3 linked regions of the Lonchura striata genome follow. The main gene of each other region encodes a partner of the protein of the gene in region 3 in a complex. Links are inferred from orthologs where the notes say so. Each region holds a gene or a part of one and is shown on either strand. Other genes may lie near its edges.

Evidence for each region.
Region 1: the proteins of PLXNB1 (region 3) and SEMA4D are in contact, whole or in part, in a crystal structure (PDB 3OL2), measured with the Homo sapiens proteins. The link is inferred for Lonchura striata from reciprocal best matches to the Homo sapiens genes PLXNB1 and SEMA4D. Residues at the interface, in NP_001123554.1 of Homo sapiens: Leu80, Pro81, Pro82, Glu87, Arg136, Pro137, Gly138, Asp139, Thr140, Tyr142, Gly178, Glu202, Lys205, Ala207, Gly209, Arg210, Ser212, Glu213, Arg235, Arg242, Asp359, Val360, Asn361, Ser362, Leu367, Pro368, Thr371, Tyr375, Ser379, Asp380; in NP_001358123.1 of Homo sapiens: Glu99, Lys100, Gly101, Phe158, Tyr179, Phe181, Leu182, Gly183, Ser184, Arg198, Tyr201, Ile203, Glu208, Val240, Leu264, Arg265, Thr266, Leu267, Gln268, Lys270, Thr347, Gln350, Ser351, His352, Thr353, Asp388, Gln392, Lys395.
Region 2: the proteins of PLXNB1 (region 3) and ARHGEF12 are in contact, whole or in part, in an NMR structure (PDB 2OS6), measured with the Homo sapiens proteins. The link is inferred for Lonchura striata from reciprocal best matches to the Homo sapiens genes PLXNB1 and ARHGEF12. Residues at the interface, in NP_001123554.1 of Homo sapiens: Glu2129, Lys2131, Val2132, Thr2133, Asp2134, Leu2135; in NP_056128.1 of Homo sapiens: Phe82, Gly83, Leu84, Thr85, Val86, Ser87, Gly88, Asp89, His127, Val131, Lys135.

The regions. Positions count from the first base shown.
Region 1 is NC_134642.1:8,237,395-8,245,031, reverse strand, and holds the start of SEMA4D (semaphorin-4D), read right to left. Parts: upstream 3,098-7,637; 5' UTR 3,027-3,097; intron 2,678-3,026; exon of another isoform or gene 2,660-2,677; intron 2,619-2,659; exon of another isoform or gene 2,351-2,618; 5' UTR 2,301-2,350; intron 1-2,300. UniProt on the Homo sapiens protein: Cell surface receptor for PLXNB1 and PLXNB2 that plays an important role in cell-cell signaling. Regulates GABAergic synapse development. Promotes the development of inhibitory synapses in a PLXNB1-dependent manner.
Region 2 is NC_134625.1:8,620,814-8,627,884, reverse strand, and holds the start of ARHGEF12 (rho guanine nucleotide exchange factor 12), read left to right. Parts: upstream 1-3,974; 5' UTR 3,975-4,425; coding exon 4,426-4,457; intron 4,458-7,071. UniProt on the Homo sapiens protein: May play a role in the regulation of RhoA GTPase by guanine nucleotide-binding alpha-12 (GNA12) and alpha-13 (GNA13). Acts as guanine nucleotide exchange factor (GEF) for RhoA GTPase and may act as GTPase-activating protein (GAP) for GNA12 and GNA13.
Region 3 is NC_134614.1:15,164,859-15,172,156, reverse strand, and holds the start of PLXNB1 (plexin-B1), read right to left. Parts: upstream 3,076-7,298; 5' UTR 2,992-3,075; intron 1-2,991. UniProt on the Homo sapiens protein: Receptor for SEMA4D. Plays a role in GABAergic synapse development. Mediates SEMA4A- and SEMA4D-dependent inhibitory synapse development. Plays a role in RHOA activation and subsequent changes of the actin cytoskeleton.

The DNA.
Region 1 (7,637 bases), on a different chromosome or scaffold from region 3:
TGAATAATGCTTTCATGGTCATATACCTTCAGAAGCTACTTTTCAACTCATTTAAATCACAGAATAAGAATTCAACAAGACCCAACATTTGGAAGCACTGGAGGCTTAAAAGACATGTTAGTCAACTTTGGTAATTATTTCATTACCTTTGCACAGCAAAACCTGGCGTAAGTAACTTCACCTCTGCACATTCAGAACTTTATATTCTGGTTACCTACAAAATCCCTATTGCAACAACTAGCTTGGAATTCCCTTTTTCCTGGAGAAAACCAAAGCTAAAAACAATTGGTGGAGTTCCAAGGTAATGTAAGTATGATAGAAATGCTCCAAGATTTTATTTCTACTGATTTAGAGTCCTATTTTAAAAAGCCATCCTTAAAAATGAGATTATGGAACAACCACCTATCAACTTATTCAACACCTTCTGCAAAGCAGGTGACATATGCAAGTATTAAATCTAATGCTAGCAGCCCAGAATAAGAACTGATTTTGACATGGACTGAAAGAGACCTCCCACTTGCTTCACTGCAAGAGAACAGCTAGGAAAATGCATTTTAAAACAAAAATATTCATTTAGCACACACCCCCTAAAACAGCTAGGAGAGAGGACAAGAGTGTGCTGCAGAGCAAGCACAGTGCAGCCTTCAACTCCACCCAAGTGGCCTTCAGCAAATGACAGATCCTCTGGAGTTCTCCAGCTCGCCCCAGCAAAAGGCTGCATGGAGCAGGGAACTTTGAGGCTCAGCTGCTCAGGAGGCAGGCCAATATGGGATGCGCCAGGGCATCCAGAACATCTCTTCTGTTTGCAGGACCTCTTAGTGGTATAAATCCACACATTTTGGCAGGGTACTGCTGTATCCATACAAGGTTAACAAGAAAAGTTATCAAGTGTTCAATGTGATAGCTGTTTATGCAGGGACTGGGCTGGGGGGGAGGAGAGGAGACTGAATCATAATACCAGCAGAGAGATGGCAACACAGCATATTAAATTAAGCCTGTGGGCACACCTGTACTTAAGTGTCCAGAAAAACCTATGAATCAGTGTTCGAGTTTCGAAACAGAACCATTCATATCAAACACTTAATTTGTTGTGGAAGTAGCTACTGCCCTCCCCACTAGCTACAATGGTTTTTGCTTCTTAAAAAAACACAAGAGAAATTTAAAAACCAGTATAGACCTATTTTGGTAGGTATGAATGGAAGCAGCTTTTGTCAGCAGACTCTGTAGCAATCCTGGATCACAGATAAAGGTATATAATGTAATCATTTCAGAGGAGGAGAGAGATGGTGAAATACTCCCTCTACACACCAAGAGATGATAGTAAAGACAGAGTTCATCTGTCAATCCTCTAAGAATATAAACGCAGTAACACATTCCCATGCCATCCGTTTGCTTCCAGTGGAAATAGCCACCTATAACTCATCTCTGCTACCAGAAAGAATGAGTGGCCATCCATACATGGCCTGCTCGTCCCAGGCAGCACACGGTACAAACACTCCTCCCTACGTACAGTGTTTCACCCGACACGAGCCACTCGGCTCTCCCTTACAATGCCCCTTTCTGACTCCGTTTGTAAATGATACTCCCACTCCGGCTCGGCCTCCACATTCGCCATCCACGCAGCCAGCACAGCTTCCTTTAGGCGCACTTGCGTAATTGCCTGAGCTCGCACTCTTTCTAATAAAAGAAGTCATTAAACTGTTCTCTAACAAAACCTTCATACAGGTATCCAAAAGGGAGTATGAGATCAGTAGCTATTTCTGAGCCTGATGGGCACACAGCATTCAAAAGACGTGTGCTAATTACTGTGAGAATTCTAATTTTGTTTAAAAAAGATGCATTATTGCTACATTGATTTTCAGAGCTACTAGAAATACCTGAGTGCTATAAACTTAAAGGTTTAAACATTTTTAAGCCGAAGTAACTCTCCGTAAGAGGTACATGACAATAAAGACATGAAGGAAAATAGGAAAATGTTTCAGCATTAAACCGGAAAGCAGACTTCAAAAATCCCTTCAATCTACAGATCCATCAGGTTCCGGACTACACCAGGGCAGGATCAAAATTCTACTCCCCTCCCTGCTAAAGGCAGTCATGTAATAGAAAGGACCTGCAACAATGAAGTTACCACGGCTGCATTCATCCACTCAAATCCTCTCCCTTAAACGCCCATGATGCGTATTTGTGTATACGCAGAAAACACCACGCAATAACCCACACCTCCGGGAAGCAGTGAAGACATCCTCTCGGAATTAGCCGAAAAGGCAAATGGGGACAGAAGACACTCTCTTCACACGTACCTTGCAAACTCAGCACCTCCGCGGAGACCCGATTCAAACTCTCCTGACAGCTAAAAAATAAAGCAGCACATAACAGCGCTTCAGAACACGTGCAGCCGGTTACCCGACAGCAAGCACCCGGTATCGCGCACGGCTCTTCGCTCAGCGAGGGACGGCGGCTCCCAGCAGACAGCGGCCTCCCCGAAGCGCCGGGACACACTCCTGGCAACCTGAGCTGCTGGCCCTTGGAAACCGACTGCTCCTCAGCCGGGCGAGAACGCCCCGCATCCATCCTCACCACCCTCGGCCGCGCCCCCGCCCCCGCGGCAGGTGCGGCAGGCGCGGACGGCGGGGCCCCGACCGCCACCCCGGGCACGCACCTGGCGGAGCCGCAGCCGCCCGCCCGTCGCCGCCGGAGTCAGCGGGGCTCGGAGGGGGGGGAGGAAAAGCAGATTTATAAACCTGGCAGCCCTCGCTCATTTGCTACGGCTGCAGGCTCCTCCTCTCGTCTCGCTCCGGCCCCGTGGCCGGCGGGGGCTGCCAGCGCCCTCGCCCCCCGCCCGAGCGCGGCGGCGGCCGGGCCCCGTCAGGCGGCAGGACGGGCTGCGTTCCGTAGGGGCGGCCGCGCCGCCCGCGCCCGGCTCCCGCAGCCCCACCTCGGCGGGGCCGGACGGTCGCTGCCCCAGCGACGGAACGCTCCCGCCCGCCGCCTCCCGCGGCCCGGCCCGCCCCGCCGGGCGCTCCTACCTGCGGGGCGCTGCGGCGCTCCCCTCGCACGGCCCCCGCCCGCCTCGGCGCCCTCCCCGCGGCTGGGGCTGGGCCGGCGCAGCCCCCTCCTCCCGCGCCGCTGGGGGCAGGCCGGCGGCGGGAGCGGCGGCGGCGGCAGGAGGAGGAGGAGGAGGAGGAGGAGGAGGTGTAACAAGTTTGGGTCGCCCCGCAGTATGGCGGCCGAGCGGAGCTGGGGGCGGGCCCGGCTGGGCTGGCTCCCGGGGGTTTGGCGGGGGCCCGAGCCGCCCTCAGCTCGGTGGTGCTCGGCCCTTCCCCCGCGGGCGGCGCGGCCCCGTTAACGGCGGCGGCGCTGGGACACCAGCCGGCCTCGGCGGCGGCGGAACCGCTGCCCCCGCCCGTCCCTGGGGCTGTCCCTGCCGAAAGCAGGTGCGGCGTCCCGCGGCTCGGCCGGGCCGGAGCCGCCGCCGCCCTCGCACCCAGCGCCGCTTGTCGCGTTCCGCCGCTCCTCCTCCGCCCCTCCGCGGGCACGGGGGATCCGCTCGCCGCAGACCGCAGGGAAAACCGCACCTGGGATCCAGCCTGGTACCATGGGAGTGAAATAACTCGTGTCATAAGCCGTTGCTACTAGAATTACTGCACCTTAGAGGCATAGGTGCGCTTAGGTGACTGCTCGGCGGTATATGAAAGGAGGACAGAAAATAGGTCAGTAAATGCACAGATCTCACCCGCGGTGATCCTGCTGAGTCACTGATGAGCTATTGATTACCGTCATGTCCCTGCACGCCTGGTGTGACTGTTCAGATGAATGGCATGGACCGACACATGGGTCTCTGGTTTTGGATTGGGGTTTGGTTTGTTTTATTGCTGCGGAACAGGTGATACCAGTGTCATGAAATTGCCATAGTTTGGTTAGCAGTAGTCATTGAAGCAAGACTGGACAAAATATTTAGCTTGTCAGACAATAGCACTTGCTTTACTGCCTGACCTTTAAATTCCGGCATTTCACAATACTGTATTTTTACAATAACATGCTAGTCAATCTCTAATAATTCATATTAGCTGTAGGTAAGAAATAACATCAGGAAGAAATCATTGAGGAGATCTAGCCTCTTAAAGCATGGAGGCATGGTAATAACTTCAGATTAAGGAAGTTACATGCAAAGCAACCTTGATATTTCAGGGTCTACGAAATGGTAGCATCTGAAGGAGGCTACTAGCATAGCCGGCAAACAGTCTGTTGTGTGGTAAACAGTGGGAAACGAGTTTTCCTGCACTACATTTTCAAAATGGTGATGTAACAGTCCATCTTAACAATGGATAACCAGTGTTCATCACGCCATTGACATCAAATATGGTCGTAATGCCATCAAAACATTGGATGTGAAGCATGGAAAAGAAAGTAATCATACCCATAATCATCTGGGAGATGGCAGCAGGAGCGGCTGAGAAGACATGGTCTGCAAGGAAGGGGCAGAACCACTTCTGATGATTAACCTGAGTCCGAAAGGGGCATAAATGAGAGGGTGAAATGAACCCGTGCCAGAAAATCCTTGCTGAAAATACAGTAGCATGGTAAAAAATCCTTATCATACTGTATTTGGTAAATTGCCATAATTTATACCATCAGAAGATTAACCTGCATCTCCACTGGGACTCACTGCTGGTATTAATATGCTGACAAAACCCTCCAGTGTAGACAAGACTTTAAGCATGTCCTGAGGGAATACAACTATGAAATTATATTACAAGGGAAGAAACAAAGATGCTTTTTTAATCTCTCATTTTACAGAATCTAGACTTGGGCAATTCTTAGCTCTGAGTAGAAAAATCACAGGGATTTTGTCAGGTTTCCCCATGAAGCCTGCAGTCTGTACAAATTTCCAAAACCAGGGAGTGGCACAAGGGAACTGGAGCAAAGGCTAGCACAAACACAAAATTCCCATTATTTCTGACTCTATCCAAGTAATACGTCATTACCTTTTAAGAATTATATTGTTAATTTTTATGAAGTAGCTTTCAATCTCCATTCTCAGTGAAACCTGGAGAGTCTTACAGACTTGAAGGTTGGAGGTGAAACAAGGAATTGATATTTGTACCTTGTCAAATGGCAAATTCTCAATCACATTTAGACCCTTCTTTCAAGTATATATTACCAAATGGGATTTGATGGGAAAAAGAAAACACTAGTAATAACAGTGTTGGGAACTTACAGCTGGTACCATGAATTGCACCACTGAAAATTCCTTTTGGTTACAATTATAAGTCATTTATTTCACAGGAATAAAAAACAAATGGCCTCTGACACAGATTTGAGAAGTTTCCAGAGGTCTGTAATGCTAATCTGGGTTGTATATTAATCTGAGCTAGTGATGTAGGGCTGAAGACACTGGTCCTCATAGTAATTATAACTGATTTTGTTTTCCAAAAAAATATAATAATCTCCCAAATGCTGCATGCTGTTGCAATGAGATCAAATAATGAACAATTGTTAATACATGTCCACATCAATTCCATAATGGGTATTCCAAGGACATGGAGGAAACATGCTTTTAAAAACCTTTACTATAAGCATAATAAAGTCTAATCTTCAAAAGGACACATAATGCTTTCTGCAAAGTAATAGTATATAAAGACTGCCTCAGTCCTAACACATTTACTTCAGACAATGTGTTGGGGTTGAATATACAGACAGGTATTTTAAGTCTAGGCAAGCTGTGTCAAATCTGTGCCAGGAAAAATAAATAAGCAATTAAGAAAGAAAAAGGGGTTAAAGAAAGCTGTAACAACTGATGGTGCTCTTAAACCTGCAGTCCTTAATTAAACTCACAAACAAATAGGCTGCAGGATAGAAGATACAGGAGCAGAGTCAGGACTGAGAGAGACTAAAACTGTCTCAGAAGCCAGGTCTGAGGCTGAGGGCAGGTCTGTCCAAGAGTGAGTGAGTGAACAGGTGGTAGGTTTTTAGTAAGTCAGTGAAAAGGGCATTGAACATGCCCAGAGGTTTGCAAACCGATACATAATACAGGGAATAGGTCAGTAGCAGGGTGCGTGAGAGAATGAATAGATGAGAGAATAAAGTAAAAAATAGTTGGGTTGAATGAGTGCAACTGTGAACAATTCTGAATAAAGTCAAGGTTTCAAGCTACACCTTTATATTGCTATGATGGCGTGACTTTTCAAATCACTCATCATTGATATAAGCCAGCATTAGAGGAAAAGAGCACACATTGCTGAAAAAAAATCCCTTTTCACTACCAATTTTGGGAAAATAACATAATAAAAATAAAGATTTAAAATACATTTTACAGTCATGACAATAAAAACAGTTTTGGAAACCTTAGTACAGAAAAGTAAGCACACAAAAGGCATCTAAAAGCATTGTCCAGTAAATTAATATTGATTAACATTATTAAGCTACTAGAATTGACATAGATGTAAAATTATTTGCAGAGCAGGAAGATGCCATTAACTGTCCTAGTTAGGAACCTGATACACAACTGCTCAAAGTGATTTGTGCAAGATTATACAGTAGGTGAGTGACAGAACCACAGATGGATAAAGCCTTGACCTTTTACTTTTGTATCCTCCCCATCAGGCAGAGAAAATGCATTGACTTCACTTTGCAATTACAGAGGCAGTGAAACTAAATTATAATAGTCAAGGAGTTTTATCTCCTGACCTTGGGGTTTTTTGGGTTTCTTTGGGCTGAAGACTTCCTATATCATTATGGATAAACATGGCAATTATACACTCAGAGACTTTAAAACTGTCCCTGTATTTACCATGTTTGTATGCCTAAGACAGGAGAAGAGGGAGCTAAGTAAATGCTACACAGACATCTGCATTTAGATGATGTAGAGTAGGGGAAGTGCATGTCTGGATGACGTGGCAGAGGAAGAAGGTCTTTTTCTCTGCCTTTGGTGGATCTGTGTGGCTAAGAGCACTGTAAAGGTCACAGAGAATATTTTCCATTTCATTTCCTAATCTGGAATAACAGATTTAGGGGAGCTACACTGTAGGTTAATGTCTAACCATTAGTTAGACATCTGCAGTCTAGTCTATTAAATGTCACAGCACAGCCTGTTAGAAAGTTTGCTAAAAGGATAAGGGACATGGTGGATTTGGAGAAGGATTGCAAAAGTGGTAGGGATTCCTCTCATTCTGATGCTGGGTCAGCATTTGTATTTTACAATGAGATATTACTAGCAAGTTACATTAATAACATACTTTGCTCATAGGCAAAACAACAGCAACAAATATTTTGTGTTTTCACTTACCAGTGTCCAAATATGGAGCCTGTAAGTCTTACACCAACAGCTCAGTTATGTGCATGCTTACAAAATTAAGAAACTAACCAGTCCAGTGGTCTTTTCGTAGGAAGATGGCATGGAAAGACTTAGAATCAACAATCAATGAATAAAAAATGAATGATAAAAGACGCTTTATCCACTCTACATGGCGGAAGAAGTGCATGGCCTAGAGAAGGCCATGTTTATTAATGAGAAAAATAATAAAAAAGGTGTCAGCAGTGCTTACCTCAGGGGACAAGGTCAATGAGGCAACATCAATAATGGAGTACATTAAGAATAATGAAGAAACTAAAACTCAATATATTGTTTTTATGTTTTT
Region 2 (7,071 bases), on a different chromosome or scaffold from region 3:
AGAAAAACAGGAGCTGGCTGAGCAATTTGTACTGAGTGTAAAGAACTGTTCAAAATACCTGAACATTCTCTCACTGGCTTGAAATTGATGATTTGTAAGGAGCAAAAGAATCTTTATTTTTGTGGTGGAGCTCAGCGAAACTCAGCCGATTATCCCATCTGAAACACAAATTGAAATTTTTTTCTGAAAGAAAAATGCATCCAGGCACTGTTTATCCACACTTAAAACCTTAAAGCATCACTTTTTGCTGATTTTCCTCGCTGTTTATGCTGAGCTGACAGCGGTGCAAACCCCCCTCGGAGCTCCACGATCCCAAAGCGCTTGGAAATGCTTTTTTTTTTTCCCAAATTCCTGAGTTTTTACCTGCCCGGCAGCTCAGGTTAGAGGAGCCATTCGAGGCTTTCCCAGCAGATGGCAACAGCTCCTCGGTGCGAGCCTGGGAAAGGGGATTTGGCCAAAGAATCCTCACACTTTATAAATTTATTTTTACAGGAGCCCCTCTAAAGCACCTCCAAGGATCTAACCGTTATTTTAAGGCAAAATAAGAATGGAATTGTACTCCTTAGGAATGAAACTCCTCAATTTTAGGGTCCTGCTTAGCTCTGCTATGGACTAAAAAAACAGATGGAGGAGGTTGATTAGAGAATCACAAAATGGTTTTGTGTTGGAAGAGACCTCAAAGGTCATCTTGCTCCAACCCTCCTGCCATGGGATGGTTCTGTGTGTAAATTCAGATCAAGTGACAGCTTCAGAGCGCCAAAAAAAAAAAAAAAAAAGTAATGGGCACACTGTAATTACTTATTGATTTCCCTACCCCATATTTCAGGCTGTAAAACAGAATTATCATAAATGGACATCTATCTTAATCTAAATATGTAACCAACTCCCTCCAAAAAAAAAAAAAAAAATCAGCATTTGCAGAGAAGAGAAGTAGAAAATCTATGTCTTAGGATTTCCTCCAGCTAATTGTTCTCGTTATGTTGTCATGCACAATAAAATATAATTAAAGTAATAAAAAAGCATTGAGGCCTAATATGCAAATGCTGGGCCTGCCAGGAATCAGATCTCCCAGGATCTTTCCCCTCTCCAGGCACAGTACTCGATGTTCCCAAAGTTAAAAGCAGGGAGGGATTTATTGCAGAGAAGATGCAATAAAGAGATATATAATAAATAAATATAGATATATGGAGGCATTCAGTCACTTCATCAGCACTGATGACTCTATTGCACACAGCTGCAGAAGGAGAGGCAGACGTGGCCGCTTGTCTCACACTCCCACACTTTATTTATTTATTTTTCCCCCCACCAAGCCTCCGTTTTCCCCAAAAGGAAACCAAAAAAGGAAGTATAAATGTCCTGCGCATATATGTGAAATATCATGTAGAAAATGATTTCATCCCACGCTTCCCCTCTTTGCTCTGAACTCCATCAAAACAACAAATTCTTCGGGCGCTCAGACTTCGGGCTGCCGGCTTCCTGATGCGCGCGGCGAGCAGGACACAGCTCCGTGTTCCAGAGGTACGGTCCCGTGTGCCCAGCCAAAACCTTTCTTTTCCAGCCTCTTTCCAAGTCCAGTGTCCCAGCTTTGAAGTCTATCCCGGCAAGATTAATTAAAGGGAAGAAGCGTGGTGTCCTAGATGATTGGGATTAGCTAATAAGGTTATTTTAGTCTGCTGGCATTTTGCTGGAGGAGGCTGATGTTCTGTAAGTTCCTTTGTGCAGAGGGGCAGGAATTACTGGCAGGGGAGATATCCTGCTTTTCATTCCACATCTGTGCTGCTCACGAGCTTTCATTTCTGGAGGAGTAGCGTGGAAGTTTCCTGAAGTCCTCAGGTGTAGATGTTATTTCCAGGTGTTTGAGAACAAGTGGCTTGTAGTGCCAGGACAAGGGGGAACGGCTTCACACTGACGGAGAGTAGCTTTAGGTGGGATATGAGGAAAAAATAATTCCTTGTGGGGGTGGTGAGGTTGCCCAGAGAAGCTGTGGTGGATCCTTGGAAGTGTTCGAAGCCAGGTTGGAGGAACCTGGGATAGTGGAAGAAGAACCGTGGCAGGGGGTTGGAACAAAATAATCTTTAAGATCCCTTCCAGCCCAAACCATTCTGGGATTCTGTGCAGACTTGAAACAGGAATTTCTCTCTCAGACCGTGTACATGAACAGCAGGGAGTTACAGCAAGGACATGTTTGTGTTCAGCCTGTGGCCGAGAGAAGGAAATCCTCACCTGCTAAAATTTAAATGCCCCAACACCCCGCGTGGCTCATCTTTTGGCACTGGAAGTTTTGAAGGGGAGCAGGAACAGGCCCTTGGCCGCAGTGTTTCTGGAATGTACGTGCAGGGAGGGATCAGTTCTTGGATTTATGCTGCCCTTAACCTCCAAGAAAAAATTCCCTTTGAAACTTGCGTGGGAAATGCGGGGAACGCGGGATGGGACAACGAAAGGCCTGGGAGTGAGCAGCACAGCCCGAGGCTCCGCGCTGCACAGCTCCTGGCACTTCTACTCTTTTAATTTGCTGCTTATTTATTTTCTTTCTGCTCCAAGTTTCGCCGGTGTCATATTTTCCATGGAGATGGAGGCGCGGGCGCTCCCTGCCCTGAGCGCTGGTGACACGGCAAAGTGTCGGATAGCAGGGGATGGGGAAAAAAAATAGGGAAAAAAGGGAAAAAGGGATAGAAGGAAAAGGGAAACCTCCTCGGGCTAGGGATGCAGGGGGATGGGGGAAAACGGAAAAAGGGAAAAAGGGGTAGAGGGAAAAGGGAAACCTCCTCGGGTTAGGGACGCAGGGGGATGGAATACTGTTGGGCAGGGGATGGGGAAATATGGAAAAATGGAAAAAGGGATAGAGGGAAAAGGGAAACCTCCTCGGGTTAAGGACGCAGGAGGATGGGGAAAAATGGAAAAACGGGTAGAGGGAAAAGGGAAACCTCCTCGGGTTAGGGACGCAGGGGGATGGAAAGCTGGGACACAGGGAGAGGGAGAAGCGGCCGCCACCGAGCGGAGACGAAAGGAAACAGCCCGCGGGTCTGGAAAACGCTTCCCGAAGGGAAAAGGCCTGGGCAGGGACCGGGAAAGGGCTGCGAGAGAGGAGGAGGAGGAGGCAGAGAAGGAGGAGAAGGAAGGGAAGGAGGAGAAGGAGGGGAAGGAGGAGGAGGAGAAGGAGAAGGAGGAGAAGGGGAAGGAGGGGAAGGAGGAGAAGGAGGAGGAGGAGAAAGAGGAGGAGAAGGGGAAGGAGGAGAAGGAGGGCAAGGAGGAGAAGGAGAAGAAGGAGGGGAAGGAGGAGGAGGAGAAGGAGGAGAAGGAGGGGAAGGAGGGGAAGGAGGGGAAGGAGGAGAAGGAGAAGGAGGGGAAGGAGAAGGAGGGGAAGGAGGGGAAGGAGGAGGAGGAGGAGAAAGAGGAGAAGGAGGGGAAGGAGGAGAAGGAGGGCAAGGAGGAGAAGGAGAAGAAGGAGGGGAAGGAGGAGGAGGAGAAGGAGGAGAAGGAGGGGAAGAAGGGGAAGGAGGAGAAGGAGGGGAAGGAGGAGAAGGAGGGGAAGGAGGAGGGGAAGGAGGGGAAGGAGGAGGGGAAGAAGGAGAAGGAGGAGAAGGAGGAGAAACAGGAGAAGGAAGAGAGAGGGAGGAGGAAGAGGAGGAAGAGGAGGGCGGGCGGCGGAGGGATCCGGCGGCGGGGCGGAGCGGCCGGAGGTACGAGCCCCCCGGAGGCGCCGGGGAGGGGCGAGCCCGGCCCGGCCCGGCTCGGCGCAGGCTCCCGGGACGCGCCGCTGCCGCCTCGCCCAGCCGCGCAGCGCCGGGGCCGCCAGCGGGCCGGGAGAGCAGCGCGGCGCAGAGCGGCGCAGGGCCGCAGCGAGAGGCCGAGCGGCGGGGCATGGAGCCCCGGGCCTAGAGGCGGCCGCCCTGCCCGAGCCCCGCGGGCGAGGCCGGGCGGGCAGCGGGGATGGGCCCGGCCGCGGGCGGGGAGCGCCGCCCGCCCCCCGAGCGCAGCCCCTGAGCCCGCACGGGCCCCCGCGCTCGGAGCATCGCCCGCCTCTTCACGAGGGTTTCTTCTTTTTTCCACCCCCCGCCCGCGTCCGCCGAGGTTGTTTTGTTGATTATTTTTGTTGTTGTTGTTGTTGGAGTTTTTTTCCTTGCTGGAGTTTTTGCTTTATCCCCCCCGCGCCCCACTTCCGTGGTTTGGATATTCTGGGTGACTGCAAAGAAGAGTTTTGGAGTTGTTTTGGATTGGGTTTGGTTTTTGTTGGTTCTTTTTTTTTTTTTTTTTTTTTTGTTCCCTTCTCCTGCCCTTGAACTGAGTTTGTCCTCTGTGCATGCCTCTTCTGGAGCAAGGCTGGATCCTGAACCTCGGTGCATGTAAGGGGCAAAGCCTCGTTCATATTCCTGCAAGAAGAGTAAAATGTAAATTGGATAATACGACTTCTTGCCAAAGGCTCCAATGAGTGGCACACAGTCCACAATCACGGACAGGTCAGTATAAAATGAGATTCCTTGATTTTTTTTTTTTTTTTTCCTTTTTTTGAAGTGTGACTACCCGCAGAGCTCACGTACTTCGTGTTCTGGCTTCAGTGACAGACGGGATCAGAAAAGCAGGATTAAATCAGAGGCTCTGGGAGCCAAGGGTGTCTTGACTGTCAAAGCGACTGGGTTGACTTTGAAAGCGGAGTATTTCAAGTCCAACAGCTTTCAGGCCTGCCAGGCTGACTTTGTAGGAGCCAGGGGTGCTAACTCAGCTCCCAGGATGGGCTGGTGCTGCGGGGAACACCGAAAGCAAGGGTTCCTGCACGGAGCTGGAGCAGCAGAAGCCACCAGAATTTAGTATCCAGCTCAAGCCTGAGCTGGGAGAGCGTGTTGAGGATGCACTTGGGTCTCCTTGGGTCAAGTACTGCGGAGAGGTCACTCCAGGTGAGGGCAGGAGGGAGAGTTGACAAGCAGGAATGTCTGCTGGTGTCTACCTTAGCAGGAACCTGCCTTCAGATACCTGCTTGAGCCTCTGGGCTGCTCTGCAGGTGCCTTTCATTACCTCTGCAGTTCTCTCGTTTGCACTGAGGTGTTTCAGAGGAAGGGATAAAAAATGTGACAAAAAAAAAAAAAAGTCAAGAAGGAAACATTTTAACGTGCTTTTGGGGCGAATGAGTGCCTTCAGATTTTTTTTGGATGGGAAGGAAAGATACCTTTTTTGACACAGTATGCTGTAAGAACCATTTAATGTGTTTTTTTGTATCTGTATAGTGTCTGGCTGGTGGTTAAGGTGTGAATGAGTGTGGCAAAGGCCTCGCTTTGGCCTTTCATGACCAAGCAGTTCTGGCACAGCAGCGAAGCTGGGGCTGGGATGGAGCAGTGATGCTTTTGGGGGCTTGAGCTCACCAATTTTAGGCTCCAGGTGCAGGCAGGAGAGAGTCTGAGTGTGGTTCTCACTTAAACCCGGCCTTTTCGTGACTCCACAAGTCAGCCCAGTCCAAAGGGCTCTGGGACAGCTCAGACTTGTGTACAATCTGTGTTTACAACTGTTCACAGAGTATTCAATCTTGGCAATTAATTCTGTAGTTTGTACGAGTGGAGTTTTCTCTTTTGCAGTGCATGAATGATTCTTGGGTTGCAGGATGTTTTTCTCTGTAGCAGGCGAGGCAATGACAGTAAAAAGGCATTTCAGTGGATTTGTGAGGATTTTGTTACATACTTCAGGCCATATGTCTTGTGGCAGTTGCATGATATCAAAAAGAACGACAGGATTTTCATCCCGAGGAGCAGCTGAGTGATGCACGGAAAGGAAAAACACGAGAACAGGGAATTTAATTTACTTGTTAGTAAAACAAAATACTTTCCATTATTGAATTGGAGCAGCCAAATAAAAAATGTCTCATTTCCTTTTGCTCTCAGTCATGTCAGGAGGATGTTTCTGTTTGGTGTTCCATTAAGGTTTTGGATCAAAAGGCTTTTAATGTCAGGTGAGGAGCTGTGCCCACAACCCTTGGATTTCTGGGATGGCTGGGGGAATGTGGAGAAACTGGATCTCTTCTTGTCACTATTTTCCACCTCTGGCCTGAAGCAGCCCCAGCTCTGGGGTACAAAGTCATGGTCGTGGTTCTGCCAGGAGAAGAGAAGCTTTGGGGTGGCCTGCCAGGACCTGAAGGAGCCTACAGGGAAGATGGAGAGAGACTATTTTAAAAGGTCTGGAGTGACAGGACAAGGGGGAACGGTGGAAAACTCAGAGGAGGGTTAGATTGATGGTGAGGATGGTGACAGGGTGCCCCTGGATCCCTGGAAGTGTCCAAGGCTGGAGCACCCTGGGGCAGTGGAAGGTGTCCCTGCCCATGGCAGGGGGATGGGAAAGAGATGGGATTTAAGGTCCCTCCCAGCCCAAACCATTCTGGGATTCTCTGATGATTTCTGATTTATTCCCTGGCTGAACCTTTCAGCAGAACCCCAGATGTGGTGGTCGTGTTTGTCCCGATCTCTGCCGTTCCTTTTCATCCCCAGCATTGTGCAGGATTTGATCACTCTTGTCCCTGCAGAACATTCCCCTTTCCCTTCAGGCCCAGGGACTTTCTGTGTTGCCTTTTTCAATCTGCCTCTAGAGCTTAGAATGTAAAGCAGGTGCAATATAAATAATGATGCTTCCACTGTCATTAGATCCATAAATCATCTGACATGTTCAATTCTCTTTGTGTTTGTCAATCACCTTCCTTGGTGGGATTGAGATGGGAATTGCCTTAAACCAGGAAAACCCAGTTTGCATCCGTGCCAGATGGTATTAGGAATATAATAGGGTAGCTTGGGCCTAGATTTTTCTCCATATTAGCTTTACATATTTGTATTTAGCATATATAGAGCTGCCTAAATCCACATTACAGACAGCAGATATTTCCTTTGCTATCCCTGCAATTTAAGGCAGTAATGATTTGACAGCTGTCACATTTCCCTTGTGCAGGTTGCACTTGTCTAATCCTTGACATATTTTATATCTCTTGATATAAATGATCACCATTAAATATAGAAATTAGGAGTGTATGAATGGCCATTTCTAATGCTGTTCTGGAGCCAGGATGATAAATGATGTTTTTATTAAGTCCCTTACTTTTTT
Region 3 (7,298 bases):
ACGTGCTCCCACTGCCTCAATCACTTGTTTCTGAAAAACACATGTAAGAATTTATAGGAATTGTCTTCCAGCACTGAGATGAAACCAGACAAAGCTCAAATAATGATCAATATGAATCTTCTCTAAAGACATCATCACAACCATCAGGTCAAAGACGCCTCCAGTAACAGGACAGGGAAAATGATACCAGCACAATGAAAGACCAGCTGGCACATTCCCATAAAGGCAAAAGCAGCCCTCCTGTGGTTTTCATGAACAGCAGAAGATGAATCCTTTCAGATACAGTAATCCTGCAATCAGATACTCACAAGAACAACAAATAAATGCAAATCAAATCCAGGGCTTTAACAGATTATAGGGAATGCAAAGGAGAGTCAGTAGAACACACCAGATCCCAGCACGCAGAGCACAAAGACGTTTCACTGAAGATCCAGGTGAGCAAAAAGGGCACCAGTCCAAGCCCTGCTTCCTGAAACTAGCTTGTATCTAGAGGGCTAATTCTTACAAGGAAGCAGGCAGGCTCATGCCTCCTCTGCCTGCTACCACCCTGCACAGCCTCCAAGCTGGGATGAATCAAAGTCCTATCATCTTCCTCCAAGATGCCCTTATGCAAGTTTGGGAGGGTTCAGCTCACAACTTGGCTACAACAAACAATTTGAAGTTTCAGGAGGAAAAAAACCAACAGCTACAAACAAAAACAGAACAGATGGAGAAGCTGTCAGTGAGGAGAAGAAACTGATGTCCTTGTGAGTTTGCTTTGATAGGCAGCAGGAAGGACAGAGACAGAGAAAAAGATGAGAGAAGAGAAATAATGTCAAACTACCCAATTCAGCAGTAAAGCTTTTACCAGAAAAAAATGTCAAGTATTTCTGGGGAGTGGCTGCTTCATCTTCTTCTGAACTTGTCCTCGTCTGTTGTTCTCCCTCTCTAGCAGACACTGAAACGTACACTGAAAAAGACATCATGCTTCCCTATACCCATCTTTGGCTAAAGAAACTCTCCAGAAATCAAACAGCAAGAGTGGAAGACAGAAAGTGCAATTACTTTTGTCTTCTATTGGACAGCGCTGGATAGCACACACCCCACACAGGCAACCTGGGTGGGTGCTTTTTCCTGCAGAGCACACCCAACAAACAACTGGCACTGCTTAATCTGGCAGGCAGCCTCTCTGCAGGCTCACGGGGCCACCTTCGGCAGCAACAGATACTTTTCAGACTCGTTTAGTCCCTACAGGCTCCGCTGGCATCGCCAGGAAAACCCAAGCGTGCCAGCAGCAGGAACACTCCAGCAACAACCCAGCTTCACACAAAGACTGGCACTGAAGGGAACAGCTCTGCACACTCATTACAGCCCTCTGTCAGCTATTCCCTCTGCCCTTATATGGGAACATCCCGTGGCCCCGCTGGGAATATGATGCTGTTGGTGGACATGAAAGGTAAGGCAATACCTGAGCTGTCAGCAGGCGAGGGCAGAATTTTTCTGTTCTGAAAAGCAAGCAGAGTCTTGGAGCCTGAACTCTTTACAGCATTCACATGAGAGAAAGCAGAGATTAAAAGTGTCAACTGCTGACAGTCTGCACCCACCTTTCTCAAGGGTTATGCTGGTGATTTTAATCTTATTAAATATTGTTAATCGTATTACTAACCTAACTCTTTTCACGTGTTAGGAAGAAATTTAAAGAGAAAATTCCATATATGACTGCGCTATAGTAAATGCTTTCTGGCCAAATCTCAGTTCAGGGCAAGTCCCTGGCTTACAGATTCTGGCTCAGCTGTACACAGGTGTGGATGTGCATAGAAATAGTCTGCTCCGCACCAAACTACCTACAAGTCACCTTCTCTGCCAGATTCTTCTCAATCCATAACTTGTTTGCTCTCTTCTCCTGCGATTCTGCTAGGCATTGCTGGCCTCTCAAAGTGACCTTATTAAAACCTGTGAAATTCCATGCCCCATTTGTAGTAAGGGGAAACACCAATTTCCCCATTACAATGCAAAACATCTCAGTGCATCAGCTTCCCCTTGAATCAGGGGGAATGCTTCCATCACTGGCTTAGCTCCCCGATGTCACACAGACACATCATTAACATAAGTCATCGATTTCTGCATTTCATACACAAGGCAGAGCACTTCTGTGATCCCTGTTCAAAAAGTGAGGTCACAAATGAGCACATCACATTCAGCCTTGCACAGAATAGAGCACTTGTTTAAGTAAAATACTGACCCCGCTGTTTTACAACACGCAGGGTTGTAAGCCCCTTCCTCTTTGTAACTAGAGCAGCACTCCACATACTCTCCCAGGACTACTCCTGTTCCAGACTGCTCCCTGAGATAAAACAGCAGTCACAGAAAGTTTAGATTTAAAAAAATAAAGATCTCAAATTGCAACTCCTGGAACACAAAACACACCTGCTCAGAGGGGCCCAAACACTTGCTGCAAACTCTTTCGAAAGGAATGCGCTCAAGGTGGAAAACGAGCTCTCCGACCGGCAGGAATTACCCAGCAGTGCGCACCGAGGAGCGGGGCCGGGGCCGGGCAGCTCTTCCAGCGCGGCCGCACGGGCTGCCCGGCGCGGTGCCGCCTCCCGCCGAGCCGTCCCCGGCCGCGGGGGGCTCGCCCGGTCCCGCTGCTCCCCGCATCCCGGCACTGCCACCGCCGCCGGAGGGGCTCGCCAGCCCCGCCGCCCGCTCCTGCTGCCCCTCCGGGCGCGGAGCCGCGGGACCCCCGCCCTCCTCCCCGCAGAGCCCGCCGCGGGGGGCGGCCAGGAGCGGGGAGTTTCCCAGCCCACCGGAGCCCCCTCGCCCCGCCCGGGAGGCGCCGCCGCTCCGGAGGGGCCGCGCCCATCCCCCCACGCGGAGACAAAGCGCGGTCCCCGGGCGGCACCTGCCGCCGGCCGCTGACCCCCGGCAGCGCTTCCCCGCTCCAGGCCGGGCGCGGCGGCAGCAGCCGCCCACTCTCCCCTGCCCGCGGCCCCGGTGCCCGCCGCCCCTCACCTGCCGGGCGGCCGCCCCGCTCCGCTCCCGCCGCCGAGCGCTGCCCGCACCGAGCCGCGGAGCGCCCGCCCCGCCCGCTCCCCGCCGGCCGCCCCGCCCCCGCCGCGCTCCTCCAATAGCAGCCGCCCGCTCCGCCGAGGCCACGCCCCCAAGGCGGCCCCGCCCCGCAGGATCCGGCTGCCCCCTCCCGGCACGCGGCCGGCGGCGAGACCCCATTGGCTGGCGCAGGGAGGGGGCGTGGCCAGCGGCCGCTCCGCGCCCCGGGCCGTGCCCGGGATCCCCGCGCCGGGGCCGGCGGCGGCCGGGGGCTCCCGCTGCCGCCTCCCGCTGGGGATCCCGCCGGGGATCCCGCTGCCGGCTCCCGCCTGGGGCTCCTGCTCCCGGCTCCCGCCGGGGATCCCGCCGGGGATCCCGCTGCCGGCTCCCGCCTGGGGCTCCTGCTCCCGGCTCCCGCCGGGGATCCCGCCGGGGATCCCGCTGCCGGCTCCCGCTGCCGGTTCCCGCCGGGGCTCCCGCTGCCGGCTCCCGCCTGGGGCTCCTGCCCCCGGCTCCCGCCTGGGGCTCCTGCCCCCGGCTCCTGCCGCCGGCACCAAGCGAGGCACGGGCACCGACACTGCTCCGCACGCTGCCGCCACAACCAGCGGCGGCTGCCGGCCGGCCCGAGTGCACAGCGCTGCGCCAGAGGAGTCCGCGGCGCCGCGGATGAGAGCTGGGCATAAAGCTGCGTATTTTGGAAGAAATGGCAGCGTTTGTCTCGTCTCCGCGTTTGTAGCAATGTGACTTTGCAGTTAGGCTCTCAAGCCTTTGTGCTCGGCTCTCCCCAGCCGAGAGGTGCGGGTGAGCTGCAGCGGGCAGGGGCACAGGGAGCAGAACCTGACAGCAAACCTGACAGCAAACCTGACAGCAAACCCAGTTTGTCCCCCTACACACACAGCATCGGGAGGATGAGGCACAGCCCAGCTCCCGTTTGCAGCGCATGTGGGAACCAGCACATGAGCGAAATGGAAGAATGTGACAAAAGCATAGTTATCTCTAGTTGCAAAACAGCGAAGGACATACCATTCCAGCTGAAAGTCGGTGGAGACAAAAGCACCATAAAGCAGAAGCGCCTGAAGTGATATGTGTAATATAAACTGACTGCTGGTTTTGTGATTTTTATTCCTGTGAAGCTGGAAGCTCCAGTTATGGGCAGAGCAGAGGCTGGTGCTCTGTGTAAGAGACAAAGGCATTACTTACCGCTGAGAACTGACTGCATAAAATCCTCTCTCTGAATTAGGGGTAAGTTCTGTCAGTAACAGTTCTACAGAGGGACAGAATTAATGCTCCCATTTTTCTCACTCACACTGTAACTTCTGTGTTTCCCAGATGTGCTGTACTCTGCTGTGTTGTTGATCAGCGAATATACAGTTAGTCTAACAAATGACTTGCTATACATGCAGTGACTGCCTGTAAGTACTTGTCATTTGCCTGCTGAGCTGACTGCCAGATGTTTGGCAATCCCAGACAAAAGATGGAGTTATGCCTTAAGCACCCAGCCACAAATTTTGTGTGGATGAAAGAAAACATCTCTGAGGATGTGAAGAAGCGATTCAAGAGCTGTAGGTAAAAGGAAACTGAGGAAGAGTGCACTGGCCTGGGTTGTGCAAAGTACAGAATTTGCCTTATGCTGGGGTGCCCATCACTTCTCCTTTTTGGCTGTAGATGAAGCTACAAATCTCCATTGAAGACATAATGCTGCTCTGAAAGTCTGAATCGGTCTTTCCTCCCACGTTCATTTCTGACATTTCAGAGGGACGTAGTTGGTACAAATCCCACGTTCAGAAGTGTCATTAAACATCTACTGTCTTTGTTACAATACATCAGTCTCTCTTACTCCCAGCCCCCAAATTTTATGAAGGAAAAAATATGTCTGAAAGCTTAGAGATGCTGAACAATCCCCAGGATCTGGCAGCATGATCATGGTCTCCCAAAGAAAGGATTATTTCAGAGGCAACTACTGGCTGCCTCTCTGGACCTTTGCTCCTTGGCCCTTCAATATGCTGAAGAGTCCTTGGAGCATGCTGTATGCAGAGCCCATGAGGATTCCCCTGAGGAGATGATCCCTTACTTGTTCTTCCCCCAACACAGAAAAAGCCATCCTATTACCACACCCTGCTCACTGAAATGCTCTTTAGCTTAGAGCTCACTGAATTATCATCTCACCAATCAGACACAATTTAACTGCACTTAAAATGCATCTGCCAAAATCCAGTTTTGGTGACTAAGAGCATTAAAAAAAAAAAAAAATCTCCTAACTTTTCTTTGCTCCAACCCATTCCTGACTCAAAACACTAATCTGCTTTGTGCATTTTCTCCAGAGCCAGTCCCAACCTGCAGCCCCTTCTGTCTGGTAAAAAACATCTGCAAGCTTCACTTAAAAAACAGCAAAACCCCCTATGAGAGCACATTTGAAAGGAGAGGCTTTTCCTTCTGTCCCATGGCAGGGTTGGCAGGGAACTGGATATAGGGCCTGCCTTGGGAGCAGGGCAAGAAGAACTCCTGTGCACTTTAGGGATGTTACAGTGCCCCCCTCCCACCCCTCCTACAGCCCTTCTGAGAGACAAGGGTGTTGTAAAACCACTGTGGGATTAACCATTCCCCCTTCTGGGAAGAGTTTTTATCAGTCTGCACAAACATTTTGCAGTTCTTAAAAAAAAACCCCAAACAAACCAATCAAACCCTGGAGGAAAAGCTATTTCTCAAACATTATACAGCTGTGAAAATGGTGTCACACAAAGAACAAACATTTTGAGGAACAAGTGAAAAAATTTTTTCTTTCCATTTGTTCAGGTTTGTTTTGTTGTGTTGCTTTTAGTATATTTAAATCCCTAAAGGATCCTTTTCTGTAAAAACTCTTGTTAATGTCTGGTTCTAAGCAGGTTAGCTAAGTTTGTTTCATAACTATTACAATAATCACAAGGCAAGCAGCTGCTTATGCTCCTTTTGATTTCCTTCCTACTCTTCCTCCCCTCCAAGCAGGAGATGAGACAAGTTTAGAAAGTCACAAGGGATATGTGAATACTGTCTGTAGCTTCTGGGAATGAAGTGTATTTAGAGCAGTAATTCAGGGACCAGCTGAAGGTTAGCTACATCTACCCTACTTCATATCTGACCCCATTCCTTTCAAGCTTTCAGTTGTCAGAATATTTAGAAACAGCATTAAGGTATTTGTTATGGTGATTTGGGTACCTACAGATCTGCTGGCAGCAGCCTGTTGATATTTAAGGATCTGATTTTGAGTACAAAAAATAGCCAACACCCCAGAACCTGCAGGGATAGAGCAGGAGACTTTGAGCACACACATATTTGCATGGGTTTGCCTTCTCCCTGCAGAACACAGCAAAACAAGCTTGGGACGCTTGTGGCAATCCCTTTATCTTGGAGTTCTGCTGCTGTGTTTAAGCAGAGACCTTCTCAGATTATCCAATGCCAAGCACCAGAAATCTCACTTCTCTGTGCTTTATGAGTGAGGTCATGAATGTAACTTGCTAGCAAAAATCCAGCAATAAAATACAGTTCTAAATATAATGTGGACAAATCCAGCATTGTCTGCCTTTTCTTAGCTCACAAACCTCATTCCTACAGCAAATCTCAAACCTCTTCCTGAGGTAAACAGGACATCTCTACTACTCCTATGCTCCACAAAGAGGGAAGTATTTGTTTTTAGAGGGAATGTTGTAAAAGGAACTGTCTTTTCCAAACAAACAAAGAAATCAACAGGAGCACCTGCAACTTCCGACCAGGATCCTACAATGTTGGAACATTCAAACTGGAAGTATTAATAAATAAATATATATCCTGATTGTTACATTACATCTGCTTTTGTCCTGTCTTCTTAAGCAACATTTTCTAGTTCTCTCATGAGTGGAAGGAAGGGCAACTTTTCTCTTCAGAATGCACCTACTGTTAGAAGTCTGCAGTGACCTCATTCAAAGTTATTTCCATAGCCACAAGCTGTTTGCTTTTGAGTTACTGGTGGTTTCTCAAGGAGCAGTAAGAACCCAAAATAGCTTAGCACAGGCCAAGCTCAGGCCACTGCCACCCATTTTTCTATAGTTAATATCTATCAAAGGGCTTCCTGTTGCTCTTACCAGGTTCTCCCTAACTCAGCTTCTGTGTCTGGCCTGACAGAGGAACTAATCTGAATGAGCACTGGCTTCCTCTGACCTACCCACTGCACCCAGGTCAGTCCCTGGCCTCACCAGTCCTGTACATAATTTTGCAACCACCATCCCCCTCGGATGAGCACTGGGGCCCAGGGCTGGCTG